Linked DNA regions of Drosophila melanogaster. The protein of the gene in region 1 interacts with the protein of each later gene in a pairwise test. Each region holds a gene or a part of one and is shown in the gene's direction. Other genes may lie near its edges. The genes, in order: CG31140, CG15211, cad and CG12679.

The links.
Region 2: the proteins of CG31140 (region 1) and CG15211 interact in a two-hybrid assay, tested with the Drosophila melanogaster proteins (one large-scale study listed by BioGRID).
Region 3: the proteins of CG31140 (region 1) and cad interact in a two-hybrid assay, tested with the Drosophila melanogaster proteins (one large-scale study listed by BioGRID).
Region 4: the proteins of CG31140 (region 1) and CG12679 interact in a two-hybrid assay, tested with the Drosophila melanogaster proteins (one large-scale study listed by BioGRID).

What each region holds. Positions count from the first base shown.
Region 1 is NT_033777.3:23,959,945-23,967,436, forward strand, and holds the start of CG31140 (uncharacterized protein), read left to right. Parts: upstream 1-3,235; 5' UTR 3,236-3,279; exon of another isoform or gene 3,280-3,289; intron 3,290-5,855; exon of another isoform or gene 5,856-5,860; 5' UTR 5,861-6,646; coding exon 6,647-6,758; intron 6,759-7,492. Other genes in the region: AP-1sigma (adaptor protein complex 1, sigma subunit), read left to right, coding at 954-998.
Region 2 is NC_004354.4:10,769,653-10,780,036, forward strand, and holds CG15211 (uncharacterized protein), read left to right. Parts: upstream 1-2,888; 5' UTR 2,889-2,974; intron 2,975-3,115; exon of another isoform or gene 3,116-3,145; 5' UTR 3,146-3,346; coding exon 3,347-3,514; intron 3,515-8,308; coding exon 8,309-8,476; intron 8,477-8,558; coding exon 8,559-8,756; 3' UTR 8,757-9,329; downstream 9,330-10,384. Other genes in the region: BTBD9 (BTB (POZ) domain containing 9), read left to right, coding at 1-334, 403-849, 911-1,420; Ant2 (adenine nucleotide translocase 2), read right to left, coding at 9,569-10,043, 10,341-10,384.
Region 3 is NT_033779.5:20,768,395-20,775,548, forward strand, and holds the start of cad (caudal), read left to right. Parts: upstream 1-2,336; 5' UTR 2,337-2,713; coding exon 2,714-3,515; intron 3,516-7,154. UniProt on the Drosophila melanogaster protein: Caudal (cad) is one of a number of transcription factors controlling segmentation of the embryo.
Region 4 is NC_004354.4:20,373,660-20,379,466, reverse strand, and holds CG12679 (uncharacterized protein), read left to right. Parts: upstream 1-2,944; 5' UTR 2,945-3,074; coding exon 3,075-3,647; 3' UTR 3,648-3,703; downstream 3,704-5,807.

The sequences.
Region 1 (7,492 bases):
GTGTCCTTGCAGCAGCGTTGTCATTATCTTTAAGTTCCGAATCTGATGTAAACCACCTCGGCTGGCACACACGCACTCAATCGATTTTTTTATTTGCATGCCGTCTTGAGTTTCGAAACTTGCCTACTCGAAAACGAATTGTGAATTGTGAGAATCTACCAGGAAATATTAAATCGCCACAGTATTGAACTTGCCATAGATGTTGCTGTGCAGTAAAACTAAAACAAAAACTAAAACCTTGTTTGCCATTTATAGTACAATTTTTAGCCTGTGTTTATTTTGTGACCGTAACTCTTGTAAGTCTCCTAACCCGATTTGTAGCAATATGTCGATCGTAGTTGGCTTGATTATTTTGCATGACCTTTGTAGATGAATTTCTAATGTTCAACTAAACATATTCTTGCCATACCATAAGCCATATATAAATGTGTAACCCATGTACCCTCTCTCTTGTTATTATTAACGCTTACCCTACCCGCCACTGCATATATCGATGTTAACACAACTACTACCACCACGAACAACCACCACAGGACTTCAATGAGTATCTCAACTAATCAATGAAAACAATAAATAAATACCAAGAAGAAAAGAAAACCCATCCCAAAGAAACAGTGTAAAGAACATAAAGTTATATTCCCGATCTGCAAAGAGTTAGTGGAGAGTCGATAGGTCAGATCAGTCAATCCTTCGTCCAGCTGTATATATATGTGTATATTGCCCAGCTTCTATTTCCCTGCCTTCCCCGCGCTGCGCTGTGATGTTCATCCATATAATATGCATTTCGTGTTTCCAAGTTGTGCCGTACATGAAAGAAAAGCAAAACAAGATCGAAATTGGTTTCTTTTTTGGACACATTCTACTTACACATACACCTACTACTCTTACTACCACTACTACTCTCTTTCCTTCTACTCTTCTCGTTCTTATTGTTCTTATTCTCTGTACTCCAGGACGAAGCCGTTGAGGGCACTTTAAGAGACATTGGACTCCTCTAAAGAACTAGAACACCCTAGAAATTATGTAGTTGATATTACACGCACACCCCGACACAATAACACACACAGTTACACCCCAGCGATAACGTGTGCTGCACTTGGCACTTTACAGCACTGCTCCATCCACTCCTCAACACTAGTGTGTGATTTGGCTGTTGTACAGCACTGAAGCGCTGAAAAAAAAATTATAAGCAAGAAGACGCCAAGCAGCGTGAGGCTCCAAAAAGCAATAATACTATATAGTAACATCAGAGCATCTGGTATGCGGTTTTTCATACACTCTATCTCGTAAATTTCACGCACAGACACAATAGATTCAGAAAAGTTCATGCAAAACAAGCCAACCTCACGTAGTTCCACCTGGGGTTCCTGAACTGAATTAATATTCCTCTTCCTATCTACATTTTATAATCGAAAGATCATTCCAATCAATCACCAAATGGGCAATAACTAATTTAGTGGGGAAATATATGCAATACTATTCTTACAATAGAAACATGTAAGCTTTAATGTTGATTAAATGAGAACGATATATAATTGAAAATTGTAATAATAACCGAATAAAAAAATCTAGTTTATCTATATCTACAAGTATATATATATATATATATGTTTATGTATGTGTGTTGTACGTTTTAGCCAAATTTTCTGTGTTTTGTAACTGAGAAAAACAAGTTAAAATAAAAACCAAGTATTTTTGAAAAAAAAATCCTAATTGTACTCGTATGCTATATGAAAATGGTAAGACCTGGTGAACCTCAGTTTTCTTTTTAGTGTCTTTGTTAAACGTTTAGTTTTGATTGTTGTCTTTGCTGTTGTTGTGACTGACCAATTTGACTGCTCTAAACTCTTGACGCCCACATTGTTCCACCTCCACTGATCTGATCTCTGAGCTCCACTCCCTCTAAACTGTCTATCTACCTATATGTCTGGCTTAGCGCACCCGTTTGGTGTCCTTTCGTTTTTAGTTGCTACTATATACCACCCTTTTTCATAGTCTTTTTCATAGTTAGCCCCCAGTATCGATACTTTTATTTGGTTTCCTTTTACCCCAAGCGCTGTAAAGTATAGTAACATGTAACTGAAGCTAAGCATTCTCCCTTTCCAGGATGAGACCCCGCAGAGTTTCTTCGACGATCACGGCCTGGGCTAAGTTGGCTCTATGCAAAAGTAACGCCAGAAAGGCATTATCTATATTGAACCCATTTAAAGTCGCCTTAATTGTATGTGTATTTAACGTAACCCAAAAGTATACCGGTTCTATTGTAATTTAACCACCCTGTGTCAGCATAAAAAACATTGTGTATAGAAGTGCTGTTAAACCTATTCCTAATTTCGCTTGGCAAATGCAATTTGCAATACATTTAATTTCACAAAAAAGCATCAATATCGGTTGCTCACACACGTTCATATTTGTAAAGATTAACTTAATGATAAGCAAAGTAAAGCGATGCGATTAATCGACGGTGTGCTCAACTCTATAGTTGTAAGTTAAAAGCCCTATAAATATATAAAAATTGCTGTATCCAAAGTAACCAATCAAAACTCTGTTTACTTTATGCATTCTTTGCTGCAAATAAAGATGGTATCGAGCGTGAGAGTTTTTATATTTCAGTACTACTCTTTTCTGTTGGGACAATAGTACGTCATGGTTATGACGCGGAATAAGCACAAGAAAGTAGGCAATGGTTTTTGAAAAGTTCGTTTTTATGAGATTTTACTAACTTAAATTATAAAATATAAGAAAATGCATTTTCTTACTGATTTTAATATTGAATGTAAAACTCATTTTTTTCAAAAAACCTACATTTCTAACCTTCAATTAAGCCTTAATTTAAAATAATGGTCGTTCTTTGGGCCAATTTCCTCTCTTAGCTTGGCCACATTTATTTTGGGGCCAAGTTGGCAGCTCGCCGACCAACAAATTGTTGATTTCATTTTTATTTGGGGAGGGGGGGTCGCCAGAGAGCATCCTGACTGCGAACGAGAGAGATAGAGAGCGACCTGGCTCTCTCCCTAACGGGAGCTCCCCAACATTTCCCCCTGTTTGTTGTTGGGCACGCACGCACACAGGAATTCGGCGAACTCAACACACTCAGCGTCGAGCGAGAGGGCGCGATTGGCCCCACGGCGTGTGCGAGCGGGACGCAGCGAGAGCGCCAGGCGGAGCAGCGGCGAAGGCAGCGATAAAGGCGCTGCGCCGCGAGAAAGTTGCAGACCCGTCCGCAGAGCGCACCATCGTCTTCAGCGGAGCACACACAGCAGCTAGGTGTGCTCTTCCGTACGTAACGGTTGCGGATTTTCACTGGATTTCCATTTTCACACAGCCAGCACACAGGAAAATTCTCACACACTCGCAGCGAAAAAGTGCATAAAACGCGTGGAAAACTCGGGGGAAATCGCGATGAAAACTTGCGAAAAACTCGCTTTAACTCGATTGCTGTGCGTGTGAAAATTTTCCATCCGGTGAAGGAAAAAAAATTCGAAAGTGCGGCTAGAAAAGAAAAACGAAGGAAAAAGCAGCAGCGCCAGCAGCAGCAGTAGCAGGCAGCATTAGTGGCAGTGTGAAAATCGAATGTGCAAAATTTTGCAGCTTCAAAAATGTATGGTACATAAAATTTCTCTCTCCAAAATCGCGAGTGTGTGTGTGCGCGTGAAAATTACGTTGTCATATGTGCCAAGTACCAAGAGTTTTCCAGGCCCCACTTTCCCATCCGAAGCCAAAGTTTTAACAAATTAACTCCTTCGTGTGATTAGCAATGAAAATGGAAAAAGACAAGGCCACACGCACTCCGTCCAGATACATATATATTCGCATATATATACCAATCAGACATATATATATATACATACATATAGATGTGGTGGCAAGGAATCAAGCCGCGCCAGCAAAAGAAAGAAAGAAAAAAATTCTCTATCTATTGCGATTTGCTCATGCGGCCCGAAAAGAGCGAAGCGCGCAGCATTGGGTGGGAAAAGTGGGTGGCAAGTCCAGAGGGGGAAAGGGGTGGGGGCGTCAGTGGGCTGGGTGGGCGCCACTACGGGTACGAAGTACGGCTGCTTTGTCTACAGTTGTAGAGTGTGTGTGTATACACAGCCTCTGAAATCTATATATCTCGCTTTTTTGGGCCCCCCATTAGCATCCATAATTTTCCGTTTTTTCTGCTTCTGCGCCTCTCCCAGCCCAAAACAAAACAATAATTTCCCTAAGAAAAGCAAAGCCGCAAAGTTTTCATCACCCAACCCCCAAATTGCCGCCCGTTCAACGCATTTGTTGCAAAAATATTGCTCGTTGTGATTTATCCTTAAACTTGGCCACTTTCTTTGAAACGCTCCGTCGTGGTGGAGTTGAGTTCGCGCGAGCGAGTGTGGTGGGTTCCGGAGTGCGCATGTCGCCAGGACATCGCCTGGTGGCCAGGATATATGGACACGGGAAACGGGTCCTGGACATTCCACGTCGTCAGGCTGGCTCCAAACTCACAGTTGCGGTGCAAATAATAGTACCGTCAAGTCCAAGTTCACAACTCATTTCTCAAGTTCGCAGTACTTCTACTTCAAGGGTTAACAACTTTTTTTTATAGAAAGTAACTGCGTATGTGGATTCCAGTTTTATAGATATTCCTTGATTCCATCTATAATCTGCTTTAAGTCATCATAACTACTATAATTTCGTGTAGGTGCTTTTCTGCGCACACAAACGATGCGTTAATATCAATATTCGATAGGATCGAATATCGAACTAAAATTTGAGGGTTTTAAACAATAGGAAACTCATATCTTGTTGTCACAATAGATAGTTATAGAATTATGAGCTTAGGACATAATTCGATGTAAAATCAATGCTAAAAACATGTCATATACACTAAATAAGGACCAAGATCCTTGTGCTTGAGGGCCATTATGCCGACCTTAACTTTGCGTATACACACAATGCGGATTTGTGCGCCTTCCGTTAGCTATCGTTTATTGTCATCAAGTTGAAAACTTCAAGTGTCGTTACCTTTGTTTCCGTCTATTATTAGGACCTGTATGATATAATATTTGACTGGATTGTCCTTGGCCATACCCGCTGGCGGTGGGCGGCCTTTGGCTGGGAGGGGGTGGTGCTGGGAAAGTGGGTGGCGGTGGTAATTGGTTCGTCGCAGAACATGTTGCATACTTGAGGGCGCCGCAGCTATGGAAATTGATAGAATCGCTTTGGGTGGGAGAAATTGAAGCAATGCAGTTTGCTCTAGCTCCCTCTCTCGCTTTCTGTGCCACTCTCTCTTTCTCCTTTTCCCTATGGTTCCCTTTCTCCTTTTCCCTGCGGTACACGCTGTTGATATCATATTTTTGCCACTTCTATTATTATATTGATGTCTACTACTTTTTTATGATGCTCCAAGAATACTGGGAACTTTTTTACCCAACTCACCACGCATGACGCGTGCCTTCTCTCTCGCGCAGCCCCATTTCTCGCTCTCTTTCTAGCTTTCTCTCTCTCTCTCTCGCATTTCCCTGTGGAAACTCCCGCTCTTGTGGATTTTATTATCGGGAAACGTTTTCCTTTCATTTTTTGGCTCTGCTGTTTTTTTCTTTTGGGGTGTGCGGCGCCCACGTATCAGCGCAGAAAAGCGGAAAGTGGAAAAGCAAAGGAACGAGCGAAGTCGAAGAAAAACATTTTCCGAGCTGCTGCTGCTGCTGCGACTGTTCGTTTTCGGTAGTAGTAAAGTGAAGACCGCCCGCCGAGTGAAGTGTGCCTACGTGTGTGTCCGCGACTGTGTGTGCAGTGCTATATACAAAATTCAATTGGAATTTATTTATTTCAAATGGCACACATAAATTCTAACAAGCAATTATCAAATTTATTTTGTTTAGTGCAGCGCCAGAAATTGTAAATAATTAACAGTTAAAAACTCACCACCAAAAGAAAGTTATAAACGAAAACGCTTAACCAAACCAAAGATGCATGAATATGAATCAAAGCAAATATGATACATAGCCAATATGTATATAGAAACTAGTAAGGATAAATAAAGTTCAAAGCGAGGAAAAACACCGATCCCGACAAGCAAATGTCCGGATAAGGGAGCCGCTACCTGACCAATGGATGAAAATGCAGCCGTCGTCGCCGTCACTTTCGCCGTCGTCACTATCGCATCGCTTTTGTCAGCAGCAACAGGAAAAGTCGGAAAAGCACCAGCAGTACCAGCAGCACCAGGAGCAGCAACAGCAGCAGAAGGAGCAGCAGGATCAGAAGGAGCAGTCCTGCCACGCCCACGCCAATCGAACGCCCTCGGTCGGTACGGCAGCGCTGGCTCAGCTGGCGTCGACGCCCGCACCGGCAGCAGCGGCCTAAATTGCCCAACCGCAAGAATCCCACTTCGAAATAGCCCATATACACAGCAGCAGGCGATATTGCAACTGCAACACATACTGCACTCGCAGCAGCCGCGAATACTGCTCATATAACTGCAACATCGAGAGACCTTTGCCGCTGCAAGCGCAACAGCAACTGCAGCTGCAACAGCATCCTCCAGCAGGACAACGCACAAAAAACCCACTACGCATAAGGCAACGGGGCATAAGGAGGCACAAGGAGGCGCAGGAGGATAGACCGGAAGCAGAAGGACAGGAAGTGGGGCGGGCTGCGGACACAGGCAAACAAAATGGCGGATGGTGGGCATTCATTCGTGAAGAAGACATTTCATAAGCCAACATACTGTCACCACTGCTCGGATCTGCTCTGGGGCCTCATCCAGCAGGGATATATCTGCGAAGGTAAGCACCGAGCTAGTACAAGTACTTTAAATATTTTCAATGAGATCACAGGATATCCCACATTTTTTTATTCATATTTATTGCGTAAGCAATTTGATCAGAAAGGCATATCTTACATTGGATTATCTCCTTCAAGATAATCGTTAAAACTGAATTTTCTATATGAAACTACATCTTTCGTCCATCAGTTCTCAATTCAGTCTCAACGGCCGCAATAGAAATAAGTTGTAATTAATGAGCACTAAACAGAACCGAGAAAACGCAGCACGCAAATCATCGAACATCTTCAACGCCAGCGGCAGATGTAAAAATACATTTCGTCTAGTTTTGAAAATACTTTTTAAATTGCCATAAACTTGGAATGAAAATGCGGCCGCTGATGATGTCGATGAGGATGAGGCAGTAGTGGGTGGCATAAACATGCACAGAATAGCGAAATATAGGAATCTTATCATGAAATGATTACTATTATTTTGGATAGTATATGTGAAGTGTTCAAAGCATCAGTAAAAAGATTTAATAACTTAATTGGGTGAATGTATATCTTGACATTTATCAGAAAAGGTTTGCTATTGATAAAATAATAAAGTAATGTAGATTATCCGAACCGAAAATAAAGCAATTGGTCTGTGCCTCGTCCGACAATTGCGTTTTCCCTGTGAAACTAAACAAGTTCTCCTCGTGCAGAGTGATCGGCAGACCCGACGTCATCGCCACATGACCAATGGGTCATC
Region 2 (10,384 bases), on another chromosome or scaffold:
CCAGGGAGAGTGTCGCGACGCGCTGCTGGATGGAGATGTGACCACCTATGACATGGAGAACGGGTATACGCGCCACTGCATTACGGACAGCAAAGATGCGGGCATTGTGGTCGAATTGGGCACGTTCTGCATGATCAATCACATTCGCATGCTGCTCTGGGACAGAGACAGCCGGGCGTACTCCTACTACGTTGAGGTGTCCGGCGACCAGCAGCATTGGGATCGCGTGGTCGACTACAGCGACTACCACTGCCGCTCCTGGCAATACTTATACTTCGAAGCACGACCCGTCAGATTCATTCGACTGGTGGGCACCCAGAACACTGTAAACCGGGTAAGTCAGCAGTGATCTCTTCAAACTTTCCCCATTCTTTAACTTTTTCCCTTTCCATTAATATATAGGTATTCCATGTTGTGGGTCTGGAAGCCATGCACACGGCCAAGGTGCCGCGTTTAGTTAACCATTTTGTGGCGCCCAAGACGAACGTGGCCACCGTAGAGATGAGCGCCATTGTGACGGACGGCGTGAGTCGCACCCGCAACGCGCTTATCAACGGCGATTATGTGCGCTACGACTGGGACTCGGGATATACTTGCCACCAATTGGGCAGCGGCGAGATCGTCGTCCGTTTGGGCCAACCCTACTATTTGGGCTCAATGAGGCTGTTGCTGTGGGACTGCGATGATCGCACCTACAGCTTCTACATCGAAATTTCGACGAACCGCAAGGAATGGCAAATGGTCGTGGACCGCCGCAACGACAGGACCCGCTCCTGGCAGAACTTTCACTTTACTCCGCGTCCAGTGGTCTATATCCGCATTGTGGGCACACGCAACACAGCGAATGAGGTACGTAGCAGTGCAGCGCCACAAAACATGTCCGATAAGCTAATGCTCTCCTTGCTCTTAGATCTTCCACTGCGTCCACCTCGAATGTCCGACCCAGGACAAAAACTACTTAAAGAAGATAGCCGACATGGAGAAGGAGCGCGAGAAGAGGGAGAAGGAGAAGAAGACGGCCAAGACTGACGATGACAATATTGCCTCTACCTCGGGATCCTCGTTGGCTTCAGGCCATGCTGAAAGTCCCTCCACTTCCTCCAGCAGCAGCCAAAGCGTTTTAAGGTCCATCCACTGGCCGCCACAGACAAGGGAAGTGGCCGTTGCCCCACTCACTCCGCCAGCACTCTCCCCGCCCGGCACGCCAGCACTTCCGGCTCCTCTGACCCCGGCAACCTCGTCGCCGCATAACAACCATGAACAAAATCAGCCAAGTAATATCAGTGCAGACGCAAGCCACCACACCAGTCCAAGTTCAAGGAGCAACCCCAGTCCCAGCCTAAGTAGGAGCAGAAGCCAGAGTGCGGAGTTGGAGCCAGTGCCGCCATTGGTTGAGCTTGACACCAGGGAGACGCTCTGAGCTGATCGCCGCTGCGGCCGATAATGTTTTGTACTTGAAATACTCCTGTGGTCTGTTAGCTGTTAGTCTCCGCGCTTAGTTATATTTTGCAGACCGTGCTGCTCTTGTTATCTAGTCCTTCCCAGTGCCCCAATGCTTGGTGGTTCCAAAACCTGTGCATTGCATATTGGTTTTGCGTTATTACCTTCGTTATATACTATATGTATATACATATATATATATATAGATATATGTTTTTATAATTTTATTGTGATCCAAAAATAATTCCTTATGTTTGCAAGGCAGCAGAGTTATTTATATAAGCAATATAACTGAATTCTATGCACACACACACCCACCCACACACACACCACACACACACACCACACACACACACACATGTTTAACGCGAACTCGAATGCGATTTCCGAGCAGCTGAACCAAAATTGTATACGATATCCGATCGCATAGTATAAATCTGTACTGTCTAGCCTTATGTCCGGTCCATGTCCTTGTCCAAATCAATCCATTTGATCCGCAACTCGTAGTCTTTAGGCTCATCGAGCGGCCCAAAAATTAGGCTCTATTTATTAGGCAAATTTTGTCATAGTTTGTATTGCACGCAAATAAAAGCTAACCAAAAAAATGAAAACACCGCTTATTGTTTCACTTGCAAACCAATCGGTTTCTTATAAAATTTTTAAAGTCCCTCACACATTTCAACCACGAATTGTGCCGTGTGTGACCACTGTGCACCACACATGCCACCCACTGTTGCCCCAACATCCACAACACGCTCCACTGTTTTGAAATTCCGATCAGAGGCGACCCACGGCCGTGCTGCAGCGGCAGCCATAAAAGTCGAATCAGAACGTTAAACCAGTTGCGACGCACAGTGGGCGTTGGGAAGAGAGAGAGGGACGCCGATCCAGCGAGCGAATCAGAAAGAGATGGCGAAATGCAGTGCTAGCCAAACGGGAATTTGTGGGTTCTTGAAGAAAACTAAAAAAAAAAGAAAATATTACTCATACGCCGCGTTGTCTACATGATTTAATAATATATATTGCATATTTTGTACGGATGGTTTTAATAAAATGTAAATGTTTTATTGAGAAATCTAGACAACTGTATTTATTTAATAGTTTTACTTTTATTTTGGAATGAACACAATCACACAATACGGTCAATCTGGCCCACTGTGCCGATTATAACAGTTAGCGGCGCAGGCGCAACAAACTAGTTTGCCCCACAAGCAGCGGGGAGTGGCAACTAAGGGGGGTGGGGGGTGGTTCTATTTAGGGCGTTGCAGGGGCGTCGTCAAAGGGCGCGCGCAACTAAATAGCCAACTGACTAACTAACTAACTGGGAGAGCGCGAATGTGAGTGTAAGTCCGAGTGGGAGTGGGAGAGCGAGCGTGAGTGCGCTAGTGTGGAGCGGAGCGGCGTGCGGTTAACCGTTAGCCTGCAGCGGCGGCAAGTTCAGCTCGCAGTTCAGTTCAGTCGACCAGCGGCCGCCGTGGACAAAGCAACGTAACGCCAAAGCAATCGCAGCGCAGCTCATGGATATATAGCTACAGTTAACTACCAGATACTAAACTACACACATTTCACCACATACCCAAATATACCCACCACACGCGGCATATATCTCTATATATATATTTGAGAATTAGAGGCGTGGGGGTTTAGGGGGTGGGGTGGTAACTCGCGCGAGGGCGTCACACGCGTTCATATACATCAGATATAGATATATAGGGTAGCTGCCGATCGACCAGCGAACATATAGAAAGCGGTGGTTATTTTTCTCATCTTATTTTATTGTGACAAAAATCGCGACAAGTGTTTAAAAATAGTTGTTGTGCCCAGCTAATAAAGTAAACTTGCCCGCCAAACTGAAACTGAAACTGAAACTGAAACTAAGCCAAGCCAAACTATAAACAGCAACAATATGGTCGAGACCGTTGTCAATATCGAGCGCACAACAACAACAACGACGAACGGACCGCCAGGTGGAGCGAACCCGACCGTTGGCAGCGGTGGCGGCTTCTGGAGCGCCATTCGCCTCAACATCGACTATTTCCGCACCATACCGGGCATCATCAAAATTGTGGAGTTTGTGAGTACATACAACTAGCTGAGATATATCACTACTATATTTTTATAATTCATTATAAAACAAATGAAAATCTAATACTTAATATTGCAACATATGATATTTCGAAACTATTGAATACGATCCACTTGAGTAGAAGTCTTTTAAAAACTGAAACCAAAAACTGGGCCAAATTTCCAAACATATCAAAATTATGTACATTACATGTTTCTAAACTCTTAGATTTAAAATATGCATAAATGTCGGTTTAAATAGAACTTAGGAATGCGATTATGTTGAAAAAGTACCATAATGTACATACATTATTTTGTGGAATGCTAAATTCAGACATAAGTTTCCGAATTTGGCTGTTATCGTATTTCCTCGAAACTGATAGAGCCTTCGAAACATAAAGTTTCAGAGGGAAATATTAAAATATACGTTGGATAATTGTTGTAGAGAAAAGTTAGAATTCCTCATAGCACTCTTATCGTCATAAATTGAACGGTTTTATCTAGAGTTTGCCTTCCGCCACCATTCTTTATCGAGATATCTCGAGACTTAAGAAACCCTAGAGCCTCGATGTGTACTCAATTACACAAATATGTATACAATATGCCCGACAACAAGTGTGTTGTGCACTTGCCCCTTTTGTGTGTACATATGTCAGGATCTCATTAGACTTACGACGGATAAGATAGGGGTAGACAAGTTGTAGGAACTGCAAACATGTGAGCTCCATGGCCATGTGGTCAACTCATAGCCCTCTTCTTGTATTCCACAGACGTTAAACACTTAACGCATTTGGCCTGGTATTCGAAGCTATGTATGATCTATCTTTTTTCCCACAAATCCGCAGCAAAATGAAGTTAAAGTGTGGGCGATGCAATCGGTATGCGACGCCAACACAAGGTACTCGCAATTATATGAGTGGGCACTGGGGTAACTCAACTACCGCTCGGATGGATCACCTGCTCAGGTGTAGAAAGTTTTCAGGCAAAAATTTCTCTATTCTCAATGGGCCAACGCTTGGTGGGCACAAGGTCAAGGGATAACGACAAGTGCTTGGGACCCACATGAAAAATGCATTATTAAGCGCTCGTCAGTTGTTACGGAGAAAATCAATAGCGGATAAATGGGAGGAGTGCTGGGTGCTTCGATGATATGATTACCGTCACAATAAGCTGTCGTTTATTAACTTATATATATTGATTTTCTGTTCTGAAAATCGGCTATTATCAGGCGACTAAGCTAGTTTAGCTGACGGCTGACGAAGTAATTTGCGGATGTTCTGGTAGGACTTATTTCCAATTCATATACTAATCTGACCAAAAAAGGAAAGCAAATACTTGTCATTCAAATATGCTTTGATTTCACCAATGGCTAGTTAATTTTCTTTTTCGGTTAGCGGTGTGCCTGTCGATTGGGATATTTTTGTGGCAACTAATCTTATCGGTACCCTTAAGCGATAGTCTGCTGATAGTCGTCTCAGCGCAGTGTGAAATATGTAAAAGTGCTCCACTTGAGAGTTGCCACAAAAACAGGGCCGTAATTGCAGCTGCTCGTTTCCCAAATGCCAATTGATAGGTATTAAGCCCGTTAAATAAATAATTCAAATTGGGCCAAATGGCGGGAAACTTGACCACTTTCATGGCTATCTATTTTAAGACTTTTGTTTCTTGAGCTTAACTAAATTATATTAGATTATTGGTACTATAGTTCGAATTTGACTGCAGTTTTGACTGTTTTCACCGATTGTGACTCATTTCGAACAATTCTGCGAATATATTGAGTGCCATAGCTAATCGCTCGTTACTCATACGCACCGTTATCCGAACAAAGTGGACGATAATGTGGCGACCACCTGTTTGCGAGCGGAGAGGAGCAGACCGACGATATTTTCGGTAGCCATGCTCCTGCTGATAAGCCAATCGATTCCTGACACCTGACTGCCGATCGTTAATTTGCCCACGGACCATTACACATACTCATCCGCCCAGTGGTCCCAAATCATACCAACAACAACAACAACAACAACAAAGCCCCCGAAATATAACGCTTCTTTCGTATCTTATCGTTGGCAATTAGCATTTTGGACCCAGCATTGCCTCAATTTACTTACCATACATATTCACGCGATGCCCCAAGCATATATGCATTCCATGGCCAAGTGTGCTCTATATACATATATACGTACATACACATCGGAATATCTACGAGTATATGCAAATTCGGAAAGAGAACGATTTATTATTAAGTTTTGTTGGTCGCGGTCCCTGCCGTTCGAGAATATTTTTTTTATAATAGCCTAATTACGTAAGACGTGTATTTTGGAAGCTGCCGACGGCATTCTTATTGTTTGGCATTGTAGCATTGTCGTGGATTTTAATTTTAATACGAATGTTTTAGCCAAAAGCGGAAATTATGACACAAATACGGGGTGTCATTCAAGAAATTGTTAACCACAAAAATGCGGGGGAGGCGAAGAGATCTGGGGAATTCGAGCCGAAAGTCACTTTAGACAGATGCTGGCGTTTGTTGGCGGTTTGTTGATGAAAATGCGATCGATCGTTGTGGCATCATGTACAGTGCATGCCATAAACGTAGGCTGTTTGGCTTGTAGCCGAAAGCAGTTAACTTAAACTATCGGAAATATAAATTGTATATTGCTACTATCTTATGGGCGCACTTTTTCTGAAACCTCAAATCTTATCCCTTTTCAGTTATAAGTTTCAGTTAGCGTCTTGCCTTACAGCTGCGAAACGGACTGCACTAAGTGCACATGGCTATGCAAATACGTGTGTGTTTGCAAACTGTGTGCTTGGGTACATTTTAGGTAATTGACGCTGACTAAGTGTACGGCGCTCAGGAAAGTGAGCTCATCTTTGAAGCTCCGTCTTGGCCCTGTTAACAGATTGTTAGCCAACAAAAGGGAGGGCATACATATGTATGTATACAATTCAAGGGCATTGATCCTTCTATTAGATAATCCAGTTATGGTTGTCCATTAACTTCGAACTATATATATATTTGTACCACCACAATTGGAATATTTGTTAAACATTGCGAGGATATTAGCTTACAGGTATTGTTTAAACTTTAAGCTTTCGAAGAAAGAACATTATTTATACATATGTAGTTGGAAGTTTGTAATCTAACGATCTTGTTGTTTATGTGCGACCACTAGAATTTCTGTGGCTTCCATTGAACTTCAGACGAGGCAGACGCGGCTAGGAACCGTAGACCGTATAATCGGAGGCCAAGAACTCGATCCATTTCAGTGGCGTTTCGCGTCATTGAATTTCGCTCGAAAAGTAAATAATTATGTTGCTGCCCCGATCGATATACCCAGATGCACCCAACTCTCTACGCAGTTTTTCATGCTCCACAAGGCAATTTGATCGTTGCCATGGAACTAAAGATTATGGTTATATGTATATGGTTATAAGAACTTTCCAACCGTGCACATAAGAACTGATTAACACATACAAATGTGTATATATATGCCAATCTTGTCGTTATATATACCTTATGTATGCATACGCAGAAGTAAAAATAAAAATAAAAAGCCCGCCATAAATTATGCTTAGAAAAGATAAAATTCGTATAATTCCCAGACGAATTTCTCTCTGGCTCTTTTATTTTTGAAAAGTGACGCACAACATTTGTGGATCACAAGTGCGAGGCTAAAAAAAAAAGTATATAAGTCAAATGAAGAATACGAACACCATTTGGAAAATGCATGAATCCAAGATCCAAGATCAACAAATCTCAACAAATCGCTGACAGTTCAATCAACCTTTGATATGCGGCTGCTGTGCAGTTAATTGTTTACCAGATAGCAAATAAGAAACACACACAAAAAAAAAAACAAAGGGGACAACAACAAGATGTTGCTATCAACAGGTCGCTTTTGGCCTGGGCTACAACTTTCAGCTTTCACTTTTCGTGTACCTTTTGTTTTAGCCAAAAACACAATGCTCAAGTCGACTGACTGCGCACACCTGTTTGATTTCTTATTTTGTTGCTGTGTCGCCAAAAGCTTATTGCCATTTAATTGCCTAAAACAACCACGAATGTGTGTCATCATCGGCACCTGTCATCCAGCTTTATGATCTTAGTGTTCCTAACTCACGAAATCGCCCTGCGAATTTGCTTGAAATGCGATAAGGTTCTCGAAAATGACTTACAGATAGTTCAGTATACATATATTAACAAGTTATTGGTAATATATACTGAGTCATTCATAGATACGGGATACTGTTACCTCAGTTTGTTTGAAATATGACATAAACTTAAGTTAAGTTGAGTAAAATGGAGTACCTAATTGTTTCTGAGCCATTTTACTACAAGCACATTTCCAAATAAATCTGAGCTACATATGTATCTATGTACATATGTATCTATGTATCTGTGCAGTGGCATTCTTTGAATTCACCGCTTAATTAGCTGGAGAACAAGGCGACATTCTGAGCACAGCCTCTAATTTTTCATGGCGTGCATTCAATTGAAGGTGACATCACGACATGCTCACTCCAGATTCGAAATCACGACCTTGAAGAGGCGCCTCTCAATTGGAGGAAGATCACGATCTGGGTGACTATACATATATGTATTACAACTAATAATATAAGATGCTATGCAATCTATACATCTCAAATATGCATTCAACTTTACCCTAAATAGACATTGCATAAAACTGCACAATTACGATTTAATGCGACAGATGGCGCTTGAATCTTAAAACTACTCGTATATTATTGCTTCTACTGCGACCTTGTACACTTACACATTTACCCATCTTTTTATACACACCAGGTGCTGGGCATCATCTGCATGGCCCTGGCAGCTCCTCCACTGGCCTCGGCCACCTCGTTCTTCATGTTCGTCATCGTCATCTCGTTCATCATCAACATTCTGCTGATCGCCGCCTATTTCCTGGGCATTCGCGAGGCCCTCAACGTGGCCGTCAACTGGATATTCTCGGTGAGTGACAAATGGCAACTAACTGCTCTGGATCATTAGTATGAACTAACCCACCCAACTGCTACTTTGTTTTGCCCAACAGGAGCTGATCACCACCGCTGTGCTGACGCTGCTGTACTTCATCGGATTCATCGTCCAGCTGGCCAGATGGTCGGATGCCACGGGCAAGGGTTCCGGTTCGAATACCGCCGCCGGTGTCTTTGGACTCTTCAATTTCCTGGCCTACGCGGCGGGCACGTACTTCCTGTTCCTGGCCCACAGGTCCGGGGCTACCCACTAAGTGCAGCCAACTCAGTGACTGGATCTTAGTCTAGAGTTATTTCTAATTGTTTACAGAATAAGTGCAGATCGAGTACTTGTAATTTTGCCTCTTTTTTTTGTACTTTTGTTTTTTGTTGTTAATTAACGTATGCAGCAGATTGACAATGGAAAGCGACATGGCTTTCTGTTTTTAATGTTATTTTTATTTAAATGGCTAACTAACGTTTAAGTCTTAAATCCACCCGCACAAGACCATATCTACGAAAACGAGTAGGGTGGGCAGCCCATATAGTACATAACCTTTTATCATTTCATGGCGTACATATAATGATTTTGTAATTTTTTTGAAATGTATTCAATCGAGACAAAATAATATACGTAAATTAATTAAATTTTTTTTGTTTGTCCTTCACATATAGTTGAATATAACGACTAGCTTAGCTTGTTGAGAGGATAATTAGATCCTAGTTAGATGTGGCCCACCCTAATCCGTACACACACATGCACCAAAAAGCAAAAAACACGCGATGATGAAAACAAACAAAGAGCGCACAACAAAGATTTGAGTTCAATATATTATTTGTATTTTCTCAACCACTGCGAAAGTGAACACAATCTGAAATGAGGGACCGACCACCATGTGGGGCGACCTATCAAATCAAATTATTAATTTACTACTGGGCTCGTGGGAGCAAGTCCTCCTCGACGAAGAGGTGGACAGTGTGTTCGGTTGGTGCTACGCCATCGTGGTGTGACATTTGCTGTGGCCGGGGCTGCTGCTGCTGCTGCTGGCGATCGAATTGGCCCACCACAAACGGCGGCACACTGGGGCTAAAAGTACTTCTTCATCTCGTCGTAAAGGGCGAGAACCAGAGCACCGCCCGTGCCGCGAATTATGTTCGATAGGGCGCCCTTGAAAAAGGCTCCAATGCCCTCCTGCTTGGCAATCACCAGCCAGCAATGGGCTGTGTTCTTGTACACCATCTCGGACTTCTTCAGGCCAGACTGCATCATCATGCGGCGACGCACAGTATCGAAGGGATAGGAGGCAATACCGGCAACGGTTGTGACCACCTGGGCAATCGCCCAGCTCACATAGAACGGTGTGCTCTTCGGATTCGGCAGAAAGTCGCGGCAAGTGTCATAGAATCCAAAGTATGCTGCTCGGTAGATGACGATGCCCTGCACCGACACGATGAATCCACGGTACAGACCGATGGGTCCGTCACTCTTGATCACCTTCATTAGACAATCGATCAGGCCGTTGAACTCCCGATTGCCGCCCTTGCCCACATCGGCGGCCAAACTGTCGGCGGAAGATTGAATTGGAATAGTAATAAATAGTTAATAACAAAATCGAATCCAATGAAAGTAAATCAAATTCAAATCAAATGGGGAAAACAGTTCATGTGGGTGAATAATGCAGTTGTAGAAAAAGCGTCTTAATGTATAATCTCATTTGGACATCGATTATTTTGAACGACTATAGTAAGTATGTAAAGGTTCGAATTGTTTTCCTCAATTACTCAAAATTATCAATTTTTAATGTATATGTGTATAAATGAAAAAACCAATTGAATGTGTATATAATGAATCAACTTACCGGGTTCTGGCAAAGTCCAGTGGATAAACGAAGCACAGAGATGT
Region 3 (7,154 bases), on another chromosome or scaffold:
AATCTTGCGTTTGTACGACCAAAATTCATGATTCATCTCGAATTTGCCGCCCAGGGGGAGTTACCATATGTTTACATAGATCACTTAGGGATTAGCCTTTTTGTGCGCCCCTAATGACTTCCAGGTAACGGCGTGTTACATGACTTGCCCGTGCCTGGGATGAGACGAGGAGCCCAGCCTTATAGAGCCCACGGGTCGTACCCTTCCAGGCCCAGCCCACGCAGTAAATTCCACCGAATTGTTGACGGTTTGCGAAAAAGAGGAAAAAACAAATCTGGGCTGTGGCTGCCTAATTGTTGTGTGAATTTTATGGGCCGATCGATGGGCAGGTCAACGCATCAGCACCACCTTACAGGCCTTGTTTGGTGTCCTCGTTCCCGTGCGACCTCTACGATCGCATCCTGGTTTCTGTATTCTGGTCTTTGGGTCGCAATGGCGATGGTTATGGCGAAAGCGATCGCGTTCGCGTAATCATAAAATCACCTTTTGTGCGCGGGCCTTCGATTGTTTTACAACATGTTTTGTCTTACGGACATTAAGGGGTTTTTTGTTTGCAAACGAACCCGAACCAGTTTTTGGTAGTTCAGCGTTAATAAGTGAGTATTGAGTACCTCCCTCGCGAGGCCAACTGCCCGGTGTGCTTCTGTTCCCGTGTTCCGCCGAGTCCTTTTCGGGGATATGTCGGTTATCCTCCATTGTGTCAGCTGCATTCACTTCTAATTATTTGACGCGACATTTGCAGTTTGCAGTTTTACGATCCCATACCGAGCATCGAACATCGCGGCAATCAATGAATTTATTTTTTACAGATTTAGAGAGGATTTCTGGAATCTCGGGATTACTCAATCGGCGCGAGCTTAGCGTTCTTTTTAGGGATTACAATTGGGAGTAGCTGTGTGGTATCGAAATTCTTGCGAAAAATTAATAAGAATGGTGTTAGCTGACCTGGAATTTGTGAGGCAGGAATATGTTTAACCAACTATACCTTATTCCAATGAATATATTATATTCCTTTGTGTAAGGAAAAATTATAGTCAGATAGTTTGAAAATAATTGGACAATGATTTCACATTCTAATCTTAGGGTATATTACATGTATAGTTTTATAATTAATGCCACAATATGAATATTTGGAATTTGTTATATTGCCAATATATTATAATAATTAGGCGCGTTTGCAATCTTATGATCACACGCGTGTCTGTCATAAATTATAAATAAATCAATTTATTTATTATTATTCAAATTGCGTTCAATTATTAGTTTTTATGTTAGTGAGGAGGTTTTGTAAATGGGTTTATTGATATTATTAATTCTTTACCGTATTGGGCCAATTTTGCCTTTTGCTTCACGAAATGGGTAACACTTTTGCTAAAGTCGTTATGAAATAATAATCGATATTTCAATTCCACCCATTTGTTAAACTTCCAGCGAAGTTTGATCGAAAATAAGTTCTCATGGGAATTTAAATTGATTAGTCATATTTTTGGTAATGAAGCTGGAAACTTTCGATTTACATTAAATGATAGATCCGTCAAAAGATCACCTCATTTTTAGTACCATCTTTTTTTTTTACATAAGCCCCTTGTATCACATCTTGCACCTTATCAATGCCAGACTTCTTCCGCTATATTTGAGTTCCCTGCGAATTTTTATCGCTGCTTACATGTCAATTATGGCATTAGCTTTACAACTAGAACCGAACAATAGTGCTTTGACAATATCGAGGCGCCCATATAAACAGCGATTGCTTGGCAAACACCAAAAGTCTGGACATCAAGTGTGTGCAGATCAAACACGGTATATGGATATGGAGAATAAAATCCGGAGGATAAAACATTGATTATTCCCCAGATAGAGGTACATATATCGCGACTATTACGACCGTGGCAACATAATTTTACAGCCACTAATTGCATAATACACACGCATCTCCGCAATTACTTAATTAGCCAACGGCAATTGCAATTAAAGTACATACAAATCGAAAGCGGGCCATAAAGGAAAAGGGGTTTTCTTGGCCAAGATATTACGACAAACTGCATACCTGGCTCAATGGGGCGTGGCCACCTGCCTGCCAGCCATCGCAGACCGGTGCGAAAGAGACGGAGCACCAGACAGACGGAGATAGCGGTAGTCAAGCACTCAGGCCATCTTGAATTTCGACCGAGCAACGGAAATGAGGGTTAAAAACGCCCAAGTAAAGGCACTGCTCGTGCGCTAGAAAGAGACAACTAGTGAGTGCCGACTGCGGTGGTTGTTTTTTTTGAGCCTCTCTGCCTGTTTATCTGATTTTCCACTGCTTTGAGTTTTTTATCAGTCGAGTCTTGCTCTACGTTTCAGTACGTGTTCGACCTGCATACTGAGTTGACGTCGCCACGCACGGAATAACATTTCAAATTAGTAGATTAGCCCTGCAAAACAAAAATCCATCTCGTGAGTGAGTGCTGAAAAATAGCGTTTCGAAATATTATCGATATCTCGGTCGTATGTTACTGTGCTCCCAAAAAACACATCACCAGCCAGTGATAACTGTAAAGATTGACAAAGCAAAATATATCCATTATAACCCAAACTGAAACTCCAGAAAATGTGCAACTAAAACATATTGGCCATCAAAGTGATAAGACTTAGAGATTAACGCCGGATTATTGGACACCGGACCGAGCACTGGGACTATCTTCGGAGAAAGCGCACCTAATCTAACCTCAAAATGGTTTCGCACTACTACAACACACTGCCCTACACACAAAAGCACAGTGCCGCCAATTTGGCCTATGCCTCAGCGGCGGGCCAGCCATGGAACTGGACGCCCAACTACCACCACACGCCGCCGAACCACCAGTTCCTGGGCGATGTGGACTCCTCGCATGCCGCCCACCACGCGGCCGCTGCCCACCAGATGTACTACAACTCCCATCACATGTTCCACTCGGCGGCGGCGGCCTCTGCCGGGGAGTGGCACTCACCCGCCTCGAGCACGGCGGATAACTTCGTTCAGAATGTGCCCACGTCGGCCCACCAGCTGATGCAGCAGCACCACCATCATCACGCCCATGCCTCCAGCAGTTCCGCCAGTTCCGGGAGCAGCAGTAGCGGTGGTGCACCGGGTGCGCCCCAGCTCAACGAGACCAACAGCAGCATCGGCGTCGGAGGAGCAGGCGGTGGCGGTGGTGTTGGCGGGGCCACCGATGGAGGACCAGGTTCCGCACCACCCAACCATCAGCAGCACATCGCCGAAGGTCTGCCGTCGCCACCGATTACCGTTTCGGGCTCGGAAATCTCTAGCCCGGGGGCGCCGACTTCTGCCTCGTCGCCGCATCATCACTTGGCACACCATTTGAGTGCCGTCGCCAACAACAACAACAACAACAACAACAACAACAATAGCCCATCCACCCATAACAACAACAACAATAACAATTCGGTGAGCAACAACAACAGGACATCGCCATCGAAGCCGCCATACTTCGACTGGATGAAGAAGCCCGCCTATCCAGCACAACCACAACCAGGTGAGTCCTTAGAGACCCAAGAATATATTAAATACAGATTTAGTGTTTTATGAGGGGGTATGATCGGTTACTTCATAACTTTATGAGTAAGGCTAATAACCTGCTTTTACTGCAAAGTTAAGGTCTATGCTTGCCATTGTCACTAGCTTGTATGAGTTTTTTTTTTTTAATCGAATGTGAAATAAGATCTTACTCACCGAAGGCTTTTAGTCCGAAAGACCTCGATTACCCGAATTTTTGTGTATTCAGCTACTTAGTCATTCCACTGACCTTCGATTCCGCGTACCCTGCGCTTGGGTTTCTCCCGCATCCGCCTGGCTACATTCCGAACCCGAAGATTCCATATTGCCCAGCACATAATGCACTGCATTGTCTTCCCGCCAAGCTCGTGCTGTTCGCGCTTTTCCCTGTCCATCTCTCACGGTACATATATGGGCTTTTATAAGAATCCGTTTGCCTGGCGCGCATCCAAGTCCAAATGGCCAATTAGCTCATAAAAATCAAATTCTGTTCAAGCTTCACTTTTATGATATTCAGTTGGGGTCGCGAGATCCCCGATCCGACGCCTTGATTTATGGCCACCCCGTGTTCACCGTCCACATGAGTGTTTCTGTTTGTTTGCTCCACTCTGTCTCCGTCTCGATTCCGATTCCATTGACTAATTTTGTATCGTAAATCAACTTAACAACTATAAGCATTTGAAAATGGTTTGATCAACTTACCAATAACCAGACAGCATTTGATGGAAAGTCCATCAGAGTAGAGGACTGGACTGTAAAGGCTTAGGAAAGTTAGGGAGTTCGGAACCTATTTCACAGCAATTAGCATTATGTGGAGTGTCTAATTGAAGGTTTCACTATTTTCTAAAAATAGTGAATATTCTGAATAATAAGTGAATAATACCCAATTCGACTCTCTTCTCTCAGTTCATGCAAATTTTCTGTGATTATGTGGATTTCTTGCGTTTTGTTTGCTGTGTTTTCCTACACCTCTGGAAAAACAAGCAAAGGCAATTCAGATGGCAGTGCAGCGATCTCAAACATGAGAAGGAATAAACCACTCACACATTTGTTCACGATTTATGACCCGGGCGCATGTCAAGAAGGGGAAAATGAAGACGACGATATCGACGATATCGACAATAACGCCGATATCCATTAAGCCCATAAAATCTGTTGGCATGCAATTAGCGTTTATGGCCGCTAATCCAGCTGATCAAGCCGACAAGGCGACTCAAGTTTGCCTTATTTATTATTATTCAAAACCCCCTTTAGCCTCCGCTGTCTGAATGTCACCTTTCTGACGCGCGACTGATTGTAATTCTTGCCGTATTTCATTTGCCTAAAAAGCACAAATATTTAAGTAAGAATAAATATTATATAAAAATAAAGTTAGATATTATTTACAGCCACTATGAGCGATCAGCAGCACCTTTTGCCAACACTTTGCTCAGGTATTATCTCTCTGGCATTTTCTTTGAATTGATGGTCTCGCCAAATCGAGTAATAATTAGTAATCTGCCTTTTCCAACAGAAGAGAAGAGGGGGGCTGTGACTAACACTTCGTGATTTTTGATAGAATTATAAAAGGTCCATTTTCCGTTGTCTGCGCGGCATGTGGCGGCATGTGGCGGCAGGGCACGTCGAAGGCCCACTTCAGCTTTCGGGGTGTGGCAATAAAACGGCAACCACGATTGTCGCTGGATGCAGATGCCGTGTACTTTTGTTTCAATGGCTGGTGGTTCGGGCGGGTTTTTCGATTAGATTAGCTAGCGTGGGGAATCAAATAAACGCCCGCCCTGTCAATAAGTCCTGAAAACCCCACCCAACCCATGGGGCTGCGAGTTCTATTTTCTGTTGCTTCAATAATGTGCCGAGTGATATGGAAACGTGGCCACAAAAAAAAAAAAAAAAAGAGTTCTTTGCGTGTTATCTAAAACGTCAAAAGCGTTGTTGATAAGCGATTCCGCTGCGTTTGCGACGGGCATATTGATTAAAACAATATAGGGTCGTAAACCAATAAAAATTAGTATTACTTCCAATAAAAACTAAATAGCGACATTTACGATCAAATCTATGCAATCATTATTAAACGGCAAGAAATTTAAGTGTCCATAGTTCAGAAAAGGATAGTTCCAACAATTCTGGTTTGCCAAAGTTGGCTAAAGTATCCAACCAATTGTATCAGTTATCCAATGTTGCCCAAATAAGGCTCCTCATTCTTTGATCCTTCGATTGGCCAACATCTCATTGCATTGAACGCACTTAGCAATACATTTTTGCTTATTAGCTGTCCGTAATTTATTGTCGTTATAATTTCTCCGGAGAACCAAATGTATCTAGGGGCCCAAGGAGTTCTTACTGGGATTGTCTGTAGATTTTCAGCATTGCCCGTGTTGGGACATAAAAACTAATGCCACCTGACACATTGAGATTTAATGTGTCAATATGCACAGAAAATTTATATCTAGCCACATAAATAATCGAAAAAGAGAGAGAGAGAGAGAGAGAGAAGGAATATATGGCGGGCTTGGATTTATATTGCTTTCCCGACGCATCTGAAAAGTGTTGTACTGCTCCACCGGCGCGGATGGGATACCTTTGTGGTCCGATTTTGGTCTGGGTCCCGCTCCGAGTACCAGTACCGTTCCCGGTCCCAAGATAAGCCATCGAAAATGGCCACTAGCTGCAGTGGAAATATGTTTGGTTCGGTTTCCTTATCAGCACTATCGCTGTTTGCCGATGACATTTACCCTTCCCGTTCACCCGTCCAAAGTTTCCTCCTCCGCTCCTGCACGGGTCAAAAATGAAGTCGATTTTTGGCTGCGACTGATCTACGTGGAGTGTGCGTTTGGATCGGTGATTGACATGATGGGATTAGCATTGGAACTCGCTGGCCAGGCCGTCCCATCTCCCTGTCCGTTTGTCACGGACTTGTTACCAATGTGTCGTTTGCTCTGGGCTTAGTTGTCCAAATAATAGAATAGAATCGTGTTTGGGTTTTCCTGCTCTATTTGTATTGGCCCTGATATTGGTAATAACCAGAAATTCGAGTCTTGTCCCAAAGCCCTGCGCACACAGCCGTATATATGTCCATATACGCATAGGTCTCCACTTTCGTGTACATGTTTTTGATATACCATTCGAGGCGTATCGAGTTTATATTGGAGGCGCTAGGGATTCCGGGGGCTTAAATTGGGGTTACGGACAGCTTACTCAACGGAGTGATAAATTAAAATGGTAGCTGTTCAAAATGGGTGCGAAATGTGTCGGACGATGTGTTATTTATTAATGGAAATTGGCGCATTTTATTTTGATGAATTATAAAACAATGTAGAATGTAAAGACCATGGAAACTAATTTAAACTACTGTACAATCCATTTGGAAATCTTTGCCTCAAGTTATTTTATCAATGAAAGTAAACAGCAAAGAGAGAGTCCAGAAACTGTAAATTATAGCCACGTTTCCTGTTCGCCATAAACCATAATTCCATAATGGGAATACTGCGATGTACATATGTACATAGTTCGTATCGGGAAAACGAGGCGAAAGCCTTTTGTTTGGGGGGCAACTTGGCCAAGTGACAGGGAAATCCGATTGTCAATCAACGAGGTCCGCCTGAATTATGACAACACAAAA
Region 4 (5,807 bases), on another chromosome or scaffold:
GCCGCCCAAGAAAGTTGTTCGCACAGTAGCAAAGATTGAGTTCTTATTCAATTTGTACGGATTTGTTGTTCGCCGGTCCTTTTGCAGTCCGCTCTTAAAGCCTAACCCCAAAAGCCTCCACACCACCACACACCCCCCCAGCTCAGTTGCTCCAGGTCCTGTCCAGCCACTCATCTCGGCCAATCCCAATCCCCAATTGGCCCCGGCTCGAGCCCACTCAACTTCTCATTCTTCTTCGGCTGCTCTATTGGAATTTATTTCATATTATTTTCGTTGGTCATGCCACAGTTTGGCCCCGTCAATATTTCTCCCTACCCCTTTTCCTAATCCCAACCCTAGAACACCAAAACCCGAACCCCCGAACTTAAACCACCGGCAATACAAGTTGGCACTGGTCGGCATTGTTTTTGGGGTGCGATGGCAAAAGTTCTTCGTGTTGTGGACCCAGCTGCAGTCAATTTGAGTTGACCACCCAAGGAGCACCCAGGACCATCCAGGACCATCCATTCAGGACTATCCATTCAGGACTATCCATTCAGTACTATCCTGCACTTTGGCTGGAGGCCTGCAGATGGATCAAGTTAGCTGCTAGTTGACTCCTGCTGCCAGTCCAACGAATGCTCGGGGCCAATCAATGCGCCGGCAAAAGTATGCTACGAAAAAGTTGCTGTCGAAACGGAACTGGAAACAGAGAACTGCAGCCCGCCACTCGCACTCTACGTCCACCCGATAAACACTCGGTACTCTAGGCACCCCGTTTTTTTTGACACCCTACTTGCGGCAACACAAAATACTCGAGTGTTTTACCGACGTTGTGTTTTTGTTACGAGTAAAAAAACCACCCGAGGCCTGCTGCGCAAGAGCCGTATGGGTGAGTGGACGCACAGTCAACGATCGGCCGCAGGTCATTTTTTGTATGCGGGCTGCAGTTCTCTGGTCATTTTTTGTACGCCTAAAATTTGTATGGGTGGAAGCGTGACGGGTATAAGAAATGAAGGGTAAAAGGGAATACCCAAGAAAATTTTTGTGCTCATGTCTTTGCTCTTTGATGGACTCAATGGGTGCCTCCCATTTCAAACACATAAAGTAATTGCAATTAAAGACGGCATTTGTTGATTTTTACGTTTTTTAATGTCTCAATCTAAATAATAAAAACATAGTGGGCTTAAAAAGTATCTATTAAATATAAGGACTTAATGTTGTTGGATCAGGTAGTAAGTCATCGACGTCTACCTGTTCCCCATAGATAGCGCCGATTTGTAGGAAAAACTTCACCAAATTTTTAAATCCGGCTCCGGTTACTGCAGAAAACGGCCGACAATCTTGGACAACCCATTGGGTGCATTTTTCAATAGCTACTTTCTTGTCGTTTTCCGAAACAATTTTTAATTCCGTTGGTCGTCTTAATGTTAGACAACATTTATGGCGGGATAAATTGGAGGTGTTTTTGTGTAAAAATTTGAGCACTTTCTGGCATTGCCTGCAGAACAGCCATCCGTCCAGAACAGTTTCATCTTCCTTTAAAATGTCACATAAAATGCTCCAAATAACACTTTTTCCTTTATGTTTATTGGCAACTGAGTATGTTCCATTGTTAATTTTATTTTTAACGAAATCAGCCGCTTCTGCCATTATTGTGACCTTTTCCTTTGGCTTCCAAATAATACTGAATCCTAACAAGCTAGTAATTGCATCGTAAAAAACAAAAAAGGGGCAATTAACAGCCGAGACACTGGACCAAAGACACAAGAACTCAACAATCATTATGTATGGCGCCATTTGACTCGACTACCTACGAGACCACTCGAGTATTTTTGGAAACACCCGAGTATTTTTGGAAACACCCATGTGTTTAACGGTATACCCACAAGTGTTTTTCTCACTCATCCCTTTTTAGGCACTGTGTGAGCGGCACCCGCGACGCAAAACACCGTATTGATTCGGGTGCGCACACAACGGGGTGTCTTGTCTGCATGTTCAGATTTATACTGTGTGTTTGTAAGTACCCGCGATGTGCGTGGCGAGTAGCACCCGCACACAAAATTGTAGGGTGTGAGTCGAGTGGTAAAAAAGTGCCACCCTTGCAGTTCTCTGACTGGAAAACCATGAAAATGTCCTTGCCAGCTAAATGCCACTCTCTCTCACACACACACAACCACACACACACGTCCAATGCAGTGCGGGAAATTTCTTGGTATAAACTTAATAATGCATCGGGGCAAATAAAGGAAAAAAGCAAAAGAAACAACGGCAAGTCGGAAAGCCAACATAAGTTTTGGGGCTAACTTGTTATTTTTGTAATTGGCACTTTGCAGTTTTATTGAAGCGTTGGAGCCCCGAAAAGGGCGCTCGGGATTTTGGGGGTTACCACTCCCGTCCTTTGTGCGGATCAAAATCCAGATTGGTTATTTATATACTGCGTTCGTTCAGGTGTTGTGATCGATGTTCTGATGCTGCCTCCCTAACCACTCAGCCGGGAGTGACTCAGTGACCCTGCCGACATCCATCCCTGGTCGTAATCTGAGGTGGCCAACGTTAGCCACTTTGGCGATGAGCAGCCTTTGTCCCCTTGGCATACTGGCTGCACTGGCTTGGTTATTGGTTATATTTGGTTCAGGAACTTCGGGATTTGAAGTGGGTTTGGATTAGACAACGAATGATTGCAACGAAGGAAGGGTATGCAAGCATACTTCATAATGAGGATTGTTAGTCCTTGTAGCCATTTTAATTCTCATGTTGTATGTCGTAAAAGGTAAAAGGTATAAGTATTTGAATAAGAACGAGAACCCGATACATTTGTGTATTGCTTATGATATGGCCATTTTAAATCTCAAAACATTTATCTAGCAAAACTGAGTTGATAAATCGATTAAACAGAGTTGGCCTGGACTCGGTCTTCAATGTTCTGCCAGTGGGAGTCATTTGGATTCAGTCATTCCAGACCCCAGTCTCAAGGTAGCAACTTTCAAAATTTTTAGTTCCTGTGTTCGTAACAAATAAGTGAAATCGCATATCGTGATACCAGACTGACAGAATCGATAGAATTCTCGAAGGAACGAAGAGAAGCGCCGAAAATGCATGTGGTGGGGGCACTGGTCAATCTGCTGCTGATCTTGGCCTGCATTTACACGATGACCTCACTGACCCCGGCGGACCATCCGTATGCCTTCCTGGCGGCATCCTTCAGCCTGGTCCACGGAGTGCTGGGCGTGGTTCGCTCCTTTGCCAACGAGCCCGACGAGTGCGGACGCACCTTTATGATCTCAGCCATCATACTGGAGGTTATCCCGCTGCCACTGGCGAACATCGAGTTCTACCTGGTATCCGATCAGTCGGGAGTGGCGCTGGTGCACGGCCTGTCGTTGATTCCACTGTTCTACGACATGATCGGCAAGATCAGCGAGGACTGGGACAGCTCCACGGAGACGCTGATGGACCTCGCTCTGTTGGGCAACATCGGCTCCACGTTGTATCTGGCCATCAAGGACGGCAACCATATCTACTTCGGTGTGGCTGCCACCGCGCTCCTCGCCAGATACGGCGGTGCAATTGTCGATAGCTGCAACGAGGGCCTTAGCAACGTTGTAGAGACTCTGGGAAACACCGGCATCCTGGCCCTTATGACCTACGCACTCACTGAGGGCTAATTGCTAAAACTTAAATTTGATCGGTTCGCGAAATAAAGCCAAGATGATGAATCAGCATTTGAAATTGGTTGAGCCAACTATCATTGAATACAAGGCACTAGGGATTTGTAGTTTGGGGATATGAATTACAAATCTACAATGAGAAAGGAATAAGCAATATAGCACTACTATATAAGCCATAAACCATGTCAAGGGTATACAGACTTCGGTGTGCTGCGGCTAACTAGCCTCACTCACTCGCGCGACTTCAAATTGCCAACTTAGTTGTTATTTGTTCGCTGTCTGGCTGAAGGGGCAGCGCGAAAAAGACGCGGTTCAAGGGCCGAAGGACGACGGACGACGGACGAGGGACGAAGGACTGGGGTCTCAGGACGAGGGACTCAGGAGGGCAGAGAAGGAAAGGGACGGGGCAATATTCGTGGACGCAGCACTGTGATGGCTCTCACGTCACCACTTCAGCAAATTGCGGCAATAATGCAACAAAGGTTTCTTGGGAAACACATACCAAATTGCATAAGCAAGGCAAGGCAAGGCAAGGCCACGGAAGCGGGGTGGTGTGGCCCGCTTCCTTGGGGCGGTGCTGGTGGTGGATGGATGTTCACTCCTTGGCGACTGGAGGACTGAAAGACTGAGAGACGACGTCAGTCGCTTGGCCGCCAAAGCTCTTGAACCGCCACACTCCTGCATTTCATTTTCAATTTGATTTTTTTCTGCCCTTTTCTTTTGGATCTTTGTTTTTTCCGCCACAGAATGAAGAACGAAGAAATTCCCCTCAACGACTCTGCGCCCTTGTTTACATTTTTGTTGGCTGTTGTGGTTTCCGCTTTTGGGGCCCGCGTGCGATTCCGTTTTCGTTTTCGTTGCAACATTTTTGTTTGTAATTTACTTTGGAATGCTGGCGCCACAGTCGCCGTCGTCGCCTTGTGCGGTTTTCTTAGAAAAATCTCCAGTCGCCGTAATTGCAGTGCCCGCAGTGCCGCCTGTAGTGCTCCGGACGACGGACTCCGGACTCCGGACTCTGGGCTCCAAACTGCCATTGCCGACAGGCAAATCAACTGTCACCCAGTTGCTCAGATGCGGGACCACGGGCGGTATGAGCAATTTCGCATTCCTCATACGCCGCGTGGGTCGCAAAGGGAGTGGGGTAGGTGCAAGGTAAGAAATGCGGGTGCCACTTTAAGCTTGCGTCCACAAAACATACCCAAATATCTTCGCTTTGCATAACCATTTGTCTGAAGAACGTTAGGCAGTAAATAATATATATGTACATACATATCGGCGAGTTAAGGTATGATGATGCCTGAATGTGTAACAGAACAGATTTTGCTTCTGCAATTACAATGGTGTCCCTTCAGTTTTTAATGGTTAAAATTACGCATATATATTACGAGTGACGGGTATATGACTTATTCATTATTCTGCCTATTTTGGTTGGCATACAAACAATCAGCTTTCCAATAAAAAAGACATTTTTCTGAATATGAAAGTTTTTTTTCTACATATCCCTTTTTATTTCGATTGGGTATCCTAAATGTAGTCCATCGCATCGCCACAATGTGGCCAATGCTAATATGCAGTCGGTTCCTTTATAGATAGGTTAAGGCTTTCCCTTTTGTCATCTTGAGCGGAATGTGATGTGTCTTGGTCCAATAAGAGGTCCCGAGGAAGGGCCATTACTTCCTGTCATCTCTTGTCTAAAGGACGCTCTAGTCCTTTCAGCGTTCCGATCAGGCGAACTTGAATGTTGGCATCACTGGGTAGACTCATTCACCATATTCCATGGCGCACACTTAGTCTGGGTTGACTGATTGACCATATTGGATCTATGGGGGAATTGAGGCTCCCACTCTTTCGGGATTATGTTTGGGGAAGTGGAACGGGCTGCGTTGATCAGCATCTTGATGATCAGTTGTGCTATCAATGTGGTACTTCCGGTTGGGGTTCTAGATGAGAAATAAATATAATCGAAACGGGTCAAAGCCAATTGTCAAAAATATGCAAGGCCATATAGCGCTTAACTATGTGAGCAAAGGGTATCTAATAGTCGCGACACTCGATTCTAGCCGTCTCTCCATTAATTAGTATGTAGGTAGAAGGAAGCGGCTCCGATCTTGCCATGTCCGTATCTCGTGAACTTTAAAAGCTAGACAAGCAGATTCT